2 linked regions of the Caenorhabditis elegans genome follow. The protein of the gene in region 2 purifies or fractionates together with the protein of the main gene of each other region. This does not show direct contact. Each region holds a gene or a part of one and is shown on either strand. Other genes may lie near its edges.

What was found.
Region 1: the proteins of sec-31 (region 2) and sec-24.2 fractionate together in Caenorhabditis elegans (co-fractionation; one large-scale study listed by BioGRID). This does not show direct contact.

The regions. Positions count from the first base shown.
Region 1 is NC_003282.8:12,355,202-12,362,651, reverse strand, and holds sec-24.2 (uncharacterized protein), read left to right. Parts: upstream 1-1,859; 5' UTR 1,860-1,882; coding exon 1,883-2,077; intron 2,078-2,141; coding exon 2,142-2,330; intron 2,331-2,377; coding exon 2,378-2,689; intron 2,690-2,733; coding exon 2,734-2,894; intron 2,895-3,199; coding exon 3,200-3,429; intron 3,430-3,487; coding exon 3,488-3,597; intron 3,598-3,649; coding exon 3,650-4,259; intron 4,260-4,626; coding exon 4,627-5,243; intron 5,244-5,293; coding exon 5,294-5,602; intron 5,603-5,646; coding exon 5,647-5,750; intron 5,751-6,249; coding exon 6,250-6,367; 3' UTR 6,368-6,950; downstream 6,951-7,450. Other genes in the region: ZC518.8 (Glutathione S-transferase), read left to right, coding at 744-764, 805-888; best-22 (Bestrophin homolog), read right to left, coding at 7,159-7,262.
Region 2 is NC_003282.8:11,365,258-11,374,339, reverse strand, and holds sec-31 (WD_REPEATS_REGION domain-containing protein), read left to right. Parts: upstream 1-2,547; 5' UTR 2,548-2,587; coding exon 2,588-2,653; intron 2,654-2,700; coding exon 2,701-2,840; intron 2,841-2,886; coding exon 2,887-3,081; intron 3,082-3,129; coding exon 3,130-3,346; intron 3,347-3,391; coding exon 3,392-3,564; intron 3,565-3,669; coding exon 3,670-4,057; intron 4,058-5,816; coding exon 5,817-5,911; intron 5,912-5,956; coding exon 5,957-6,429; intron 6,430-6,476; coding exon 6,477-6,731; intron 6,732-6,778; coding exon 6,779-6,933; intron 6,934-6,980; coding exon 6,981-7,238; intron 7,239-7,284; coding exon 7,285-7,437; intron 7,438-7,487; coding exon 7,488-7,728; intron 7,729-7,774; coding exon 7,775-8,043; intron 8,044-8,090; coding exon 8,091-8,210; intron 8,211-8,348; coding exon 8,349-8,402; 3' UTR 8,403-8,719; downstream 8,720-9,082. Other genes in the region: Chitin-binding domain protein cbd-1, read right to left, coding at 1-511, 558-1,113, 1,159-1,253, 1,301-1,346.

The DNA of each region.
Region 1 (7,450 bases), 990 kb from region 2:
GTGACGACGAGCTTAGAAAATATTTGCTAACTTTATTTTCAATCTTCTTACGAAACCCGATTTAAATCATCCGTATCTAATTTCGGTGTTGATAAAATCTTGAAAACTTACACCGACCGACAAAAGTACTAACAGGTAGGTTAGAAAAAGTTAAAAAATAATGAATGATGCTCTGTCTGTGTCCGTGGTCGACAATGTACACGGCAGATGGCGGGCCCGCCGCGAAAAATCGATATTGAAGCGACCGATGATGATTTCATCAGAGATACACGCTGGCCACTGGCATAACCACATTTTTAATTTTTTTTTTTTGAAATTATTAAAGTCAACAGATAGTTTTAATTTATGAATTTATTTTATTTTAATTTTAAAATTTTGAATTTCAGTTTAAAAAATTAAAACCGTTTTTATGTTGATCTAAATAGTAATTTTATTTAATTAAATTTTCAAAATGTGATTTTAAAATTATTAAAAGGTAAGTTTGAGTTTTTCTAACTAAATTGTGTGGAATTTCTCTCGAGAATTGACACAAGATACATTTAAATGACACTTTTTCGGTTCAAAAAGTACCTTTTTAACACTCTGACCATTTAAAATACCGGTCATCCGCCAGAAGTGATTGTTTGGCTGAAATAGTAACAAAATATTGTTATTTTAAGAAACACAATTGGAGAACGGTGTCCGCTCTCACTCTGCGGTGGTGGCGGTCGCTCCAATAGAGGCTTGGCCGGGCGAACGCGGCGATGCCTGCGTATCTAACTACGGTATGCATTCAATGTTTTCTGCCAACCGCACTTTTTACAGAATCCAGGAACACCAGTTTCGGGGGAAGCTTTCACATTCGGAAACCTTTATCAAATTGACAATTTTTCATTTATATTACACTAAAACACTCAAAACACCCTCCATTATCGATTTTTGATCCAATTGCTGAGTTGGAACTTTCTTCTCACTTACTAATAAAACCTGTGTTGAACGCTATGAAAATTATTTAACATCTTGCTGATCTTCTCTCGCTTTGTTCATACGAGGGCCTCCCTCTCGGCGATATTCTTCCACCTCTTCTCCTATTTTTCGTACAGTAAATGTTCTTTTTTGTTCCGCTCCTCTGAATTATTTCAAGGATTACGTGGAAATTGAGAGTGAGAGTGAAGAGTAAAAGAGAAAGCGAGAAAACAGTGATTTTATTGATTTCAGCGCAAAATCCACGTTTCACAATGAAGCAGAAACCGACGACGCCAATGTGTGGCGAGAGAAGAAGGCAAAATGAAAAAGAATTTCCAGCGAGGCAAAGAGAAAGAGCGCGAGACGCTAGTGTCTGTGTGCATCGCGCGCTTGAGGTCGCCTTCCATGGCGTAATTCTTCGTGTTCAATGAGATACTCGAGCAAAATCAGAAAATATTGTCATAAATATTTTTGTTTACGTTGTAAAATCTATTCTAAAGATCGCCGGTGAGAAGAGAGTCGCGAAATTTCGAAGCGTTGCGAAGTTAGGCAAATTTCAAGAGCAATTAATTATTAAACGCTATAAACTTTGCTGAAAATGAAAATAATGACTTTAAAAACTGAAGTGAACATTTAAACGATATTTGCGCCAAAAATAAATTATATTTGTTCAGCAGTATGCTGGTTTTTCGCGCAAAAAAAATTAGAAAAAAATGTGATCACTGATTTTCTCTAGTTGTGCATTTGTTCGTCATTCTGTTTGCACCCATCTAAATCTACCGTACTCTCTGAAGTTATTGATTAAATTTCTTTCGCCACGTTCATTCGTCTCGTCAGCTAAATATTTATCTACCGTTGTGAACTTGTTTTATTTTGTTCTTTTCTCGCAATATAATTTCATTATACAATTTCAGCGGGTTACACGAGCTATCGACGGATGTCGAATATACCGACAGCGCCGGGAAACGTTGGATTTCCGCAGGCGTACGGTCAAAACCAGAATCAACAATATCAACACGTCCAACAATTCAGTCAGTTTTCTCAACCATCTGCGGCTCCGTTAAATAATGCTCCTCCCAATTATGCAGCCAATCCGTTTCCTTTTCCGACTGCAACGACTTCGCAAGAGCCGGTATGTATTGATTCTCATCTTTACTTTCATATTTCCATTTCCTTCCTTAATTTTCTATTTTCAGGTGAAACCCGTATCTCAAATCCCAAATGGAGCACCAAGTTATCAATATAACCATGCTGCGCCAAATTATCCAACTGCAGCTTCAGCTTTTCCAGCTCATTCTGCAGGATTTTCTCATCAACCACCGTCCTTTTCACCCGCTACTCAGCCTTCTATGAACGGCCATCATGCTCCACCACCACCAGCTGTGGTATGGTTAATACTGCATATACAGAAGAATTGAATGTTTTATTTCAGTCCCGACCGCCAGCGTTTCCAACTCCACCACCATCAGTTGGTTCAGCAGCTCCAAGTATTCAGCCTCCGATCCCATCTGCACTTGCTTCAGCCCGACCTGCTCCATTTCCTGCTGCTCAACCTCCACCGGCACCAACTCCAACGCCTTCTTATCAGCAACAAATGGCTCCACGGCCTCAAGCACCAGCTGCTTATCCTCCGGCTTCACAGCAACAAGGATATCCTCCCCAGCCACAGCAAAATTCACAGTATGGTCAACCACAAGTCCCACAACCTCAAATGCAAAATATGAATCAGCAATTTGGACAAATGGTTTATTCATATTTGTTATTTCCCCGTATAAAGTTGATTTTCAGAACATGAGCGGAGCTCCTGGTCCTCAGCAACAAATGGGCGGGTATCGCAATGATATAATTGATCTGATTGCTGAAAGAAATGTTCAACAACTTGGTTTTGAAGATATCGAGATTCAGATTCCTCAACAAGTCGCGAATCCGAATGCTCATGTTGATCCAAAGTGAGGATTTTCTCTTGAAGAAGGAATTCTGTTTGTATAAATAAACTCAAAATGTGGCCGAATGGACGAATTTCGTAGTGAGACTTCTCAAAAATGCCTTCGCTACTGGCTGATATCAGCTAAAATCTCGAATCGCAGCTGTCGGAATTTGACTTTTATTTAGTTTAAATCCTTTATTGCATATTTTGATCGATTATCTCGCATCAAGAAATTGGTTCATCTGACCAAATTTTGAGTCTATACAAGCAAAAATCCAGAATCGTTACTATTGCAGATATTAGAAATATTAATAATTTTCTCTTCAGTATTTTCCGCTCAACACTCGCCCAAGTTCCACAAACAGAAGAACTACTGAAAAAGAGTCGATTACCATTTGCAATAACACTTCATCCGTTCCGAGATGTTAAGAATCTCAATATTATACAAACATCGAATATTGTACGTTGTCGGTATTGTCGGACATATATTAATCCATATGTATATCTTCCTGATCATCGACACTGGAAATGCAATCTCTGTAATAGAAATAACGACCGTATGTTGACTGAAAAATGTGAAATTGAGAAAATGCGAAAACCATTTTTTGTTTTCAGTGCCTGATGATTTCTGCTGGGACCCAGTGACAAAAGCATTCGGAGATCCTCGAAACAGACCGGAAATTCAAAATGCGACGGTTGAATTTATTGCTCCATCGGAATACATGGTATTTTCATATTTTAAACGATGTTTTTCTAAATTTAAACAAGCGATTTCAGTTACGTCCACCTCAACCTGCTGTCTATGTATTCGTGATTGATATTAGTGCTGCAGCAATTCAATCAGGCTATTTACACACATTTGCCGAGCAACTTCTCATCAATATAGATCAAATGCCAGGAGATGATCGTTCTCAAGTGTGCTTCATTGCTGTCGATCAATGCTTGCATTTCTTCTCATTTTCTAGTAATAAGCGGTATCCGAATGAAATGATTGTAGACGATATCGATGACGCTTTTCTTCCATCAGTCACATCACTGCTTGTTCCTATGAAGAAATTCAAAGATACAATTCGAACTTTTATCAAGCAACTTCCCGAATTCTACTCTCAAATCGGCCCAACTTCAAATGGAAATTGCCTCGGATCTGCATTGAAGCTCGCGCAGAGCATGATACAAGAAGTTGGAGGAAGGATATCAATCTTCCAAGTCAGCCTACCAAATCTTGGATTAGGAGCACTGAAAAGCAGAGAAGAATCGACGGAAGGTGGTCAGAATTTGGGGCCAGCAACCGATTTCTACAAAGCTCTATCGTTAGAGTGCACCGGATCGCAGATTTGCCTTGATCTGTTTATGTTCAACACGCAATATGCTGATTTGGCAACTCTTTGTAGGTTTTTTTGGAGAATTCCTTTTATTGGTGAGGGGATGCTGTCAAATTTTTTAAAAACGAAAAACTGACATTTTTCAGATTCGGTGTATCAAAAAACCTCTGCAAATACAGTTTTTATCTTGATACCTGGAAAATTAAAAAAAAAAATCAAACAGTTAATAAATCGTAGTTAGATCGATTTTCCAAAATTTTTTTTCTCGATTTTAAGGTGTTAATTTGTAGATGCTGAATCCGAAAAAATTCCAGTTTTTCGTTAAAAAAATGTAGAAAATGTCTGAAACACCACAAATCCGGGGCAGCTTTCAAATTGTCTGTCAAATTTGAAAGTTAAATTCAAAATGATTGAAAATAATTCCATTTTCAGCTGAAATTGCAAAGTTCTCGACAGGATGTGTCTACCATTTCCCGAACTACAACTATCGAAATGATATCCATCAAGTAAAACGATTCGAACGGACTCTCACTCGATATTTGACACGAAAACTCGGATTTGAAGCAGTTCTTCGTATTCGAACGTCTCGTGGCCTCGCTCTAACCGGTTTCTACGGAAACTTCTTCGTCCGATCTCCAGATCTTTTGGCACTTGCCAACGTGAATCCAGATTCTGCACTTGCGGCTCAAGTGACACTCGAAGAGAAGCTTCCGCAATATGTATGCTTCCAGTCAGCACTACTCTATACATCGAGTAAAGGTGATCGTCGTATTCGAGTACATACAATGTGCCTTCCAACAACTGGTGATCTACTTCAACTTTACAATAATTTTGATCTGAAAGCTACGGTATCCTATCTGGCTAAAATTGGAGTAGAACGATCTATGACTGGAAGTTCACTTGCTGATTCAAGAGAAGCACTTGTAAATGCAGTTGTCGACAGTGTTGGAGCATATCAGAAGGCTGTATCGAGAGGAAGTGGAATGCTTGTTCCACGTGTCGGTCATCTTCGGCTCTTCCCAAGTTATGTGCTGGCTATGCTCAAACATGTAAGCCTTGATTTGTAAAAACTAAATAAATTTAAATAATTAATTTTCAGCCAGCATTCTCCTCGTCTCGTGGCATCCGCCTAGATGAACGAGCCGGCGCAATGTTGATGATGCGATTCAGTCCATTGGACCAAATTCTGTCTGACATTTATCCACGTCTCTATCGGCTCAACGAACTCGCCTCAATGCCAGAAGATCAGTCGCCACCAGCATTACCACTATCATTCGAGCATATCAGTCGTGGAGGTGTCTATCTGATGATAACTGGTACTATTGCCTTTGTCTACGTGGCTTCATCCGCAGATCCAGGTTTCCTGGTTAATGTTTTCGGAACTTCTACGTATAATGATATTGATGAGGTGAGATTTCAATTGAATAGTTTTAAAAACATTTTAAATTACAGTATTCCCTTCTGGAAAGAGATAATGAATTGTCGAGAAGAGTGCACGCGTTCTTCAAGCAAGTCACACAATTCCGATTCTATCTGGGACCAATAATAACGATTAAGTAAGTCTTTAATTTAACATTTATTGAAAAAAAAGTTTTTATTGATTTTCTAAATTTTTTTGCCAAATAAAAACTCAGAGCCGTTTGAAAAAATTTGCGATTTTCGATCTCAACACAACCAAGTATTTGTTTAAATGAAAAAGGATATACGCTTTTTAAAATTACTACTGTATTTTTTAAAGGCTACTCCAAACTCTATGTTTTGAGCGTGGTATACGTTTTTACACATTTCTAAAGAATTTATCGTATAGTTTGTGCAAATGTGTAAAATAACTTAAGATTTAAGAAACGGGTGAAAAACGTATTGTTATCAGCTACAGTACTCCCTAAAGGCGCATGCTTTGATTTGAATTTGAGGACGCTTCGAGACCGGGTATCGTATTTTGAAACATAAATCTTTGTAGAGTTTTGCTTTGAAAAATCTGAAATATCTCTTGAAAAGTTTCACTCAAAGCTTTGATGGAAAAATCAGATTTGCTCAAAAAATTAATTTTTGCAGAGAACACTCGCCTCTCCGTGACGTGTTTGTACGGCGACTTGTCGATGATCGGTCAGAATCAACACATTCATATGTAGAATTCCTGCAGCATTTGAAACGAGAGATTAGTGGTAATTAGTTGATCAATTTTCATCCTCCATGCCGTTCCCATCATCAGTCAGTTCATCCGTGTGACATATCCATTCCCTCTTTTTTGTTCCCGTTTCCCAACAGTGTCCCATGTCTTTTTTTGCTTTGGTGTTTTTTCTTTCTCCGTAATTATTATTATTATTGTTCTTATTTTCTCTTTTTTTTTTGAAAATTCCGTTCTTTCTTCAATGTGCTCGAGTTGAACGGATATGGGTTTATCAATTGATTTTGTGTTTTTTCTTTCTAGTTGTGATTATTCTCCCCGTCTCTTGAAAATCCTCTAAATATTTCAACCATTTTTGGCCCTGCCTCACCATACATTTTATTTGTCGCCCGTCTTCCAAAATTCTTCCAAAAATCGATAAAGTGATAAATACCAAAGTGTATTTCTAATTATTATTATTATCATTTTTCCTTCCCCTCAAATTTCCTGTTCAATCATCCAGCCGACCCCCGTTAGGATTTTAATGTTACTTTTTTCTTGGTTTTTCAAAATAGCAATATTTATTACGATTTTTTGTTGCTTTTTGCACTTTTGTAGCAAAAACTCATGTGAACAGTTTTATTATCAAGTTTTTTTTCCAAGGATCTATGGTTTTTGAGTTGAAAAAACATTGAATTTTGAAACAAAAAACCAAAACTATTATACACAAAAATAAATACTCGTTATGATTTTCCGGCTGATTGGAAAAGACATAAATAACCGGATCAATGAGACAAATATCACAGAGCTTGCGGAATTATATAATGGGGGGTCTCAGTTGGAGGGGGAAATATTGTTTAATGTCGAGATGTTGTCTGTTGTTCTTCTGGTGGAAATACGGCAATTGAATGTGGATGCACTTGATTTGGATTCGATGTGGCAACGTTCATTTCAATGTCACCTGAAAAAGATTATGCTCAATATTCAGAAATTGCTCGAATATTGTAGAATCAACGAAAAAGGATGGTGGTGCGGTAGAGCGCAGTTGCACGAGGAGTATTTTTGAAAAAAAGTTAATTACTAATTATTCATTCTGCAAGCAAAAAAATAATTTTGGTTCCTTGAAAATCGAAAAAAACCAAGCTTTCA
Region 2 (9,082 bases):
TAACTCGGCTTCCCATGATGATACTTACGCCTTCTGTCGAATTTTGGTTTCAGACGAACGTTCTCATCAAATGGACTGACGATGGTATCCGATGGAGGCCCGTAAGAGTTGTACGCAGGAGCGGCGGGAACAGTGATTGGTTGACATTGTGGCAAATCGAACACGCACATAACGAGAGAGGACTCGAAGAGAGTGTTGACTGGACATTGCTTTGAACGCACCGAGTTGTTCTGACAACGATTGAATCGTGACGAACACATCCCGAAGGAGTTGACTTGTCCCTCCTGACAAACGAACGGAGTTTGCGTCGTTGTTGTCGTTGTCACGGCATCAAATCCAGTCGTAGTTGTCTCAATAGCATCAATTGAAGGTGTTGTTGTTGTTGAGATGACATCAGCGGAAGTTGTTGAGCTGTATTCACTGTCATCTTCTTGCGGTGTTGTGATTGTAGAAGTTGAGTACGATACAGTGGTCGTTGGATCATCGGTCGTGCATTGGAAATCGCAGGACTCTGAAAAACGAAGAAATTAACATAATACTCGATCACGTGCACTTACGTTGATTGATATTGAAAACTGTTCCCGGTGGACAGTATCTCTGGAACACCATGTTGTTGCTGCATGAGTAGAATACGTCATTGCAACCGTCGGCGTAGTTTCCGTCTTCCAGACCGTTGCAATCGAAGTCAATTGAATCCGGCTGCTCGTTCGACGGTTGACGTTCGTAATCTCCAGCAATCTCACCGGAAGCTTCTCCGTATCCTTCTTCACCATCTTCGTAGACTTGTGGTGCAGTAGTTGTGTCCTGTTTCACTTCGTCGCAAGATTCACGACAATCTTGGGTTCTTTCGTTAAAGACCAAGCTATCAGGACATTTCGCCATGTAGGCTCCGCCGGCGACGCAGCTGATAAACTGGTTAGAGCAGCCAATGGAGTAGATGCCATCCTGTTTCGATGTGCAGTCGAATTCCGCATATGGGGTGTCATCTTCTTCAGTGTTTTCATCTACTCGACATTCTGGAGATTCGTCGACTGGCACACATTCGTCTTCGTAGAAGACAGAATCATCGCTGCAGGTGGCTGCTTGCCTGACTCCGTTCACACATATCGAGTACTGAAAATAAAGAATTATATTTGAAACGGAGGGCTACTGGTTTACCTCCCGACTGCATGCATTTCCTGCTATGTTTCCGTTGAAGTATGCAGGGCATTCTGTGGCTGCTGGTGAGTGCGGGTATTGAATAGAATTCGAAACTGGAAAATAAAAATATTTGATTGAAAAGAAAGAGGCAGAAACTCACAAAATGTTAGTAGAAGCAGCGAGACGGTGGCTAGCTGTGGCCCCATCGCCTGAAATTGATAACAGTTAGAGGATGAATATTTTAACTTAAAAGTTTTACGAAATAAAAACAGAAAAGGTTCAAAATGGTCGCCATTTCAGGAGAAACTAATAAAAATTAGAGCTAATGAAGAAGGAATGAAATGGAACATTCGAGGTTGAAAACTCAATCCAAAAAATTTCCCGCTCGAGCCTAAAACTGGGGTCAAATAATTTTTGATCTACTGCACTTTTACATGTCTGAAATGGGTATTGGCATACATTTGCTCAATTTTATTCTTTAAAAATTAATTTTAGATCATAAAATTAATGAAAACAAACAAAATATTATGAGAAAATTCAAGATATTTTCAAAATTAAGAAAAACTAAAGAATTGTGCGGCCCAAAAATAACAGAGTACGGTATTAGTTAGCAATCGTGGCGAGACCCAACTAACAACATACATGATCCTTTAATACCAACCGTTTCCATTTTCCAAAATATGTTTTTTTGGTTGATTTAATTTTAATTGCATCCAATTTTTTGTTAATTTTCTGAAACAAAAAAATTAACTTCTAAAAATTCATAGTCGGTTTAAATAATTATAACTTTAAATAGAAAGTTTGGACATTAGCGGCTTACTTGACTACGGTATGCAAAAGTACGCAAAGACACTTCACGTCGTTTTGCAGATCCACGGAAAATCAATTTTTTTTTTGATTTTTAAAATCATCGTTTCGTTTTCCTTCGGGAATAGCGAAATTAAGGTTTTTAATGAACTTTTTTCCTCGCTTCTTTCAATAGCTATTAGTAGAATTTGTGTATTCTCTGTTTTCTCTGTCCGCGCGACATAACTTGAAAAAACATTGTCTGATTTCTTAAACATATAACAATTAGTGTTTTATTTTCTTTTTGATATTTTTCTTAAACATTTTTAAATAAGAAGCTTCTATTTTTTCGAAAATTGGTGCGATGAGTTCACTTTTTGATATTGAAATATTTTGAATTACTCCTCCCAAATTGGGAGTCCCAATTTTTATATGCGGAACATTCTAAGGAACATTCATTCTGCCATTTTTCTTTTCCGTTCGATATCGGTGTTTCTAGCTGTCTGAATTACATCAAGACTACTCTTTTAAAAACTTTCACTTCCTCCTATTTGTTCGAGTGCAAAGGAGCGCACTTACTCCCTGTTCAGCTGCTCTCATTCATCCACGTCAACGTTACAGCTAAAGTTACAACAATTGCTCATTAAACGGAACACGATCGATGAGCTCGAAGCTCTACTCACGTTCCGGCGTATTTGTCTGGAGTCCACGTGGAATTCAGAAAAAGGTAATTAATCAATCTTCGTCTATAATTGAAATAAATCAAATTTTCAGGGCTTAATTGTTGCTGATTTCGCTCAGTTTTTTGACCCGACTGCAACATCAATCGAACCAAAGATCGATTTTTTGCCAGCAAGTGAGATATATGAAAAATCGAATTTGGCCCCGAATGTGTCGCATGCCACTAATTATCGGTGAGAATTATAATGTGAAGCGGTATAGTGTATTTCATAATTTTAGATTCAATGAATTAGCCTGGACTTCTCTGTGTTCCGATGCACATCCGAACGGAATAATTGCTGGCGGTACAGAGGACGGAACTGTGGTATTTTTTGATGCTGATAAATTTATCAAGAATCAATCACTAGAAGTTCTTCTTTCTCGAAGAGATCATCATGGGCATGTTCTCACTATTGATGTTTCCAGGGACGGCAGGTATGAAATGAAAGTTTACAAGAACAATTCAAAAAAATAATTTTTAAGATGGATGGCTTCTGGTGGAGGCTCAGGACAAATTCTTCTCTGGGATTGCGCAAATCTGAAAACACCATTCTCTCCCGGTTCGCCAAATTTCCCAGATCAAGTGAAACTTCTTCGCTGGAACTTGAAGAACGAGTCTGTGTTTGCTTCCATATCGTCCAGAAGAGTCAGTTTTTGGGATTTGAGAAGAAATGGATCGCCGGTGTTAGAATTCGCAGAGGTTGGATTTTCAATTGCCTGGTGGCTATTAAAGTTCTATTTGCAGATTCCTGGCTGTGATTGGTCTTCGCTCTCTTGGAATCCTTCGGACGCCTCACAACTTATAGTTTCCAGCCAATCTCAACACGCCTCTGTTATTCAGAAATGGGATTCGAGATTCACTTCAACACCAGTTAAAGAATACAGACATCATAATATGGGAATTACGAGTGTTGACTGGTAAGTTTTTATTTAAAAGTTTGTTGATTATATAATAAAAATTGAGCTAGACAATTTATTTTTGTACAAAAAACTATATAAAAATTACGAAAAATATTAATACAGGAACAAAGCTGATGATCGTCTTGTAATTTCATCTGGCTGTGATGGACAAGTGGTTATATGGAATCACGAAACATCTGAGGTGCTTGGAGGTGTTGGAAGTCTTCAAGGAGACTGGATCCGAAATGTTAAATGGAATGAAGAGGAGCCATCACAATTTGCTATTCAATATTTCCAACATCCTGTTCAAATATCCTCATTGACTAGTCTTGGATCTCCGCAACCAGGAGCCGATGTACTTGCCGCTAGGATCTCCGATCAATTTGTTCCTGCATGGCACCGTGCTCCCTTAATTGGCTCATCAATAGCATTAGGTGGACGGTTGGCAACATTCTGGAAGTCCTACGATGCAATGACCCAACAATGGCACCATAATGTGGAAATTGAAACGGTATTGAAATTTTATAACAAATCTCGTTTTTGACTAGCGGGCCCTATGGGGCCCGCTAGTAGAGGTTGGGTTGGGGCGAGTCCGCTAGCTGGCGCGGGTTCTCGGCTTCGCCTCGAACGTGCGATTGGCAATGTTTTGGGTCTCGCACCGCAGGCCTACGGCCTGCGTGGCTTCCTGAACCAGTATAGCAGGCCTTCGGCCTGCTATAATAGAACAAAAATATGTAAGTAATCAAATATACTGTAGGGATAGTCAAAAAGGTTGCCACAGGCAAGAATTATTCAAAACAATTGCAATTGTATGTACATGTACACGTGGACAGCCAAAGACGACATGTTTGAGGGGTTTATGGTGGGGTGACGATGTGTCGAGTAGAAGAATATCTCCACTATATGACTGATAATTCAAATATGTTGATTTTTGGGAAGAGTTGGGTACCCAGGTGAGTTGAATAATACAACTACCACTGGCGGATGAGGGGAAGGAGGGGGCCGGGCAAAGACTTTTCAAACTTCGACGCGTCGTAACTTTGTTCATAGTAGGAATTGAAAAATTAAAAGTATATACTTGAACTCAGCGTTAAAAGGAGAATATGATAGCATTTGAAATTTTAGAAATTGGTGAAGAATGAACTTTTGAGCTTCCTAAGCATGGCCTGAAGCCTACAACTTCAGGAACGGGGCTCGAGGAACTCATGACCAAAAAATTTTAGTTTGTCTCGCTTCTCATAGCAAAAATAATAAGAATTAGGACATAAAATTCATTATCCAACAGAAAACTGGTCCAGGAAAAGAGGAAAATTGAAATTTCGAGGTCAAAAATTAAATAAACTAAATTCGTTGAAAATGATCGTAGAGGACTGTGCTTTCAGCTTGCATTCGGTATTTATGTACTAATTACGAATTTAACATAAAATCCCATTCGGTAGTGGAAAATTTTTTATTTTTCCAGCAAAAACGTCATTTTTTTGAGAAAATGCAGAAATTTGCGATTTCTGAAGTTATTTTTGACTTTTTTGTAAAAAAAATTATATTTTTGAAGAGTAAATTTCCTGAAAAATACGTTTTTCGAAAAATTTACCCCAAAAAGTGCCAAACTGACCGACTTACAGCCGAAAGAATCTCAAAAATCACTAATTTGCACACCAAGGGGTTGCGCACAATTTCATTGAAAAATCGTCAATTTATGCTTTTTTCGTAACTTTCCGGTTGGATAATGAGAAAACTATTTAGAAAAACGGAATCTACGTTAAAATTTACATTTGATAATGTAAAATAAAACAAAAATACGAACGTTAAACATGTTTTCAACGCAATTTTCGAAATTCCGGGATTTTTCGAGTCCGATTTTCAAATCATCATAACTCAGTTCAAAATTGATGAAATTGCAAAAACTAAAAATTTTTATCAATCCCAGATATACAGTTACCTTATCAAAAACATTTTATACTATGACCTCTAAACGTGTGCAAAAAAAGCGACACTACACGCGAAAAAAGTGATTTTTTCGTGTTTCATCAAGAATTTCTCTTAAAAGATGAAATCAAATCAAATAACCATTTAGATAATAAGATAGAAAAAGCGATTCTCTATTTCCTACAAAAAAGAAAATTAAAAAATGTGCAGGTACAGCAAAGTTACAGACGAAAGTGCACACCCAACTTTTTAAATTTTTTGTTACACTTTTTGCGCAAAAAGTGACGACCCTTGCACTTTCCGGATTTAATATAGGAAGAAGGCAGAAGTTTTTCTATTTTCAGATAGTTCCAGAAAACGATGTTGGTGTCAACGACATTGCTCAGTATCTACATATTAAGGATGATAAACGAAACTTAGGATGGTATCTTCATGAGAGGTAATTATATTTTCAGATTAAAATTATCAAAATTAAAAACTTCAGAGCATATGCCCCATCAAGCGATACTTCAGAAGAAGCAGATCTTACACGAAAAGTTTGGCTTATTCTTCTCGCGCTACAGGAAGGAGCTGGACGCACAAAGATGCTAAATTATTTAGGACTTGTAGAATCACAGGATGAGGAGTTTTCCGAGAAGAACGCAGCATCAGCAGTCTCAAATCCAAATATTCAACCTACGGCAATACCTGATAGATCTGCTCGTTCAACTTCTGTTGTTTCCGGCGCAGACACTGACATTGATATTCCGGAAGTAACAGTCATTGAAAGATGTTCTAGTGTTAATTGGTCGACTTTGGATAACTCAGGATGGGATCTTCTTCTTCATACAATTCGACAAGATCATCTTGAAGTCATTCGTGTTCTAATCTCCTCAAATCAACACGTAGCCGCAATGATGTACGCTGCTCAACACGAAACAGATCATTTGGCAATGATTCTTGATGATTATAATAAAAGTAATCGTTTTCGAGCTGTATATTGTAATTATAATTTGAAATTTCAGAATTCAACAACTCGAGTCCTCTATCTTCTATAATTCTTGCACTTTCATCGTCCTCGTCGGCTAACAAAACAGAAATCACTCCTTCAAAGCAATCATCTGAACAAGAGGTTTCTCAGCAAATTGGAAGTATTCTCCAAACTTTCCCCGATCAAAAGTGGTCAGAGCTTCTTGGCTTCATAATTGCTCACGAATCAAATGCGACAGATATCAGATTAGCAGCAAAATGCATTGGAAAGCGATGGTTGGAACAAGGAAGTTAGCGAATTTTAAAATAATACATCATAGATTCAATTTGTTTCCAGAACCTCTCCGTGCTTGTATTGCTTTTTTGATTGCCGGAGACATTGATCATCTCTTACTTGCCAATACATCCTTCACACTAGTGGATCGACTGAAACAGGCTTTAATACTTCATCAAGTATCGAAAGGTGCCAAGTATTCGGATGGATTAGAGAAGGTAGAAAAATCAAGATTATCTCCAAACTCGTAAACGATAATTTTTAGCTAATCATGAACTTCGCCAATGAACTTCTCATTCAAGGCGCAGGTTCCGTCGCATGGAATTTGGTTAAGTGGTCTCAAAATGGTTCTGCTGAAATGCAAGAGCTTCAATGGACTTGCTATAATGTTGCCGGAGGTCGAGATTGTACAGGGGATCAACCACCATTTAATCCGTTTGATGTCGCTCTACCTAGAGCTCAACAGCCACCCATTGTTCAACCGACACGGACATATCAACAACCGGCACCTATTCCCCCACCGGTATTTGTTAGTTTACTTTAAATTTATATATTTATCCAAAATTTAGAATCTCGTAAATGGTTTTAACCCGTATAATCCATCTCATTCTCAATGTCCACCACCTCCTATGGATTACTCGAATAATCGAAGAAATTCCAATTTGACACCAATGCCACCATCTTCCACTTTTTATCAGACACCATCATGGGATCATAAACCAGTGAGTTTTTATAATATCCGGAACAGAATCATAGTTTCTTTTCATTTCAGCCACCAACAATGCCAGCGAACATGCCACCATCTAAACCAGTTGCTCCAGTTACTCCCGGTTGGAATGATCCTCCTCCAATGGCTTTGAAGCCTACCACTGTTGCCCAGCCAAAGCAAAATGTGATGGAAATCAATTGGAAACCTATAGAAACTGCCCAAGCTCCTGGTGGAATGATGACTGGGCAGCAGTTGAACGGATTTGCAGGAGGGTATCAAAATGTGATGACTAATGGAATTCAAGGTAATACTCTAAATTCTTCAATTTGTGCATATATCTATATTTTCAGGAATGAGTATTCACAATCAACAATCATCTGCAGCGTCTTCAGCTTTTCCATCTCCAAACTCTTATCAACAGAGACCGGCTTCTGCAGCATCCGTTGTAGCTCCAGCTCCAATCCAATTATCACCGGAAGATGAGAAAATTATTGAACCCATTAATACATTGGCTCAGTGTATCATTGAAAATGCCAGAATTCAGGCTAGAATGGAAAAAGCTCAGGATTTGAGAACTCGTATTCAGGCAGAGCTCTCACCGCGTCTTGCTGCGAATAGGGTACGGTTTCATTAATTTTCAAAATAATTTGAAATCTAAATATTCAGTTGTCTCCCGAATCGAAGCAGCATCTAACTCATATGGCTTACTTTGTTTCCATGCGGCAGATTCGTGAAGCTCAAGCAGTTGTGGCACAAATGGCACGGAATTCAGGAGATTTTGTTGAGGTGAATTTTGTATTATGATTTATTTAACAAAAATGGAAAGCCAATTCGTATTGTTTTATATGTAAAGCACAGTGAATTGTTCTCCAAAAAGAAATAATCTCTTCATTATCTTATTTGTTCAACTCGTCTTTTTTGCAGATTTCGTCGTTCCTTCCGGCTCTAAAGTCGCTTCTTTCGCTCGCCTCTCATTAATCTTCTCCGCGTCATAATGAGAGTGTTGCCTTCATTGTTATGTGATTTTGATTATCAATTATCAAAAATGCCAACATTTTGAATATATTATATTTCATTTGCTTCGTGTGTAAAATCGTGTAAACTGTTTTGTCCCAAATAATTATTGCGTGTAATACGACTTTCCAATACCCCCAAAAATTCCTGCCAATACTTAAAATTAGATATTGCTTTATAGTCCCAAATTTTCTTACTGCTTTGTAATCATTCTTTGTTGTAGTCATAATATTTATTTATTCGATTTTAAAGTACTTTATAAATAAACGAGTTTTTTTCCCACATATTATAATTTTATATCCGTTTTTATTTCGATTTCAGACGGCAAAAATCCCTATTGAAATATCTTATTCTCTTCCAATCCAGAAGAAAAAAGTATCAACCTGTTCAGTTTTGCGTAGTTTTACGATTTGATCGCTTTTGTTTACACATCTATAAATACACACCCTTTTCCGATTCGTAATAAGATGGTCAAGAGAAATGACACATTTAAAAATCTTAAATTTATATAAGAAAATTGATTATAATCAGCTTCAGACACTGACTGAATTAGTTTAAACGGTCTCGCAACGATTTAATTTTTCAATGCGTGCTCCTTTCATTTTTTTTTTACTACAGTACTCAGTTCGCTGTGAGACCATCTC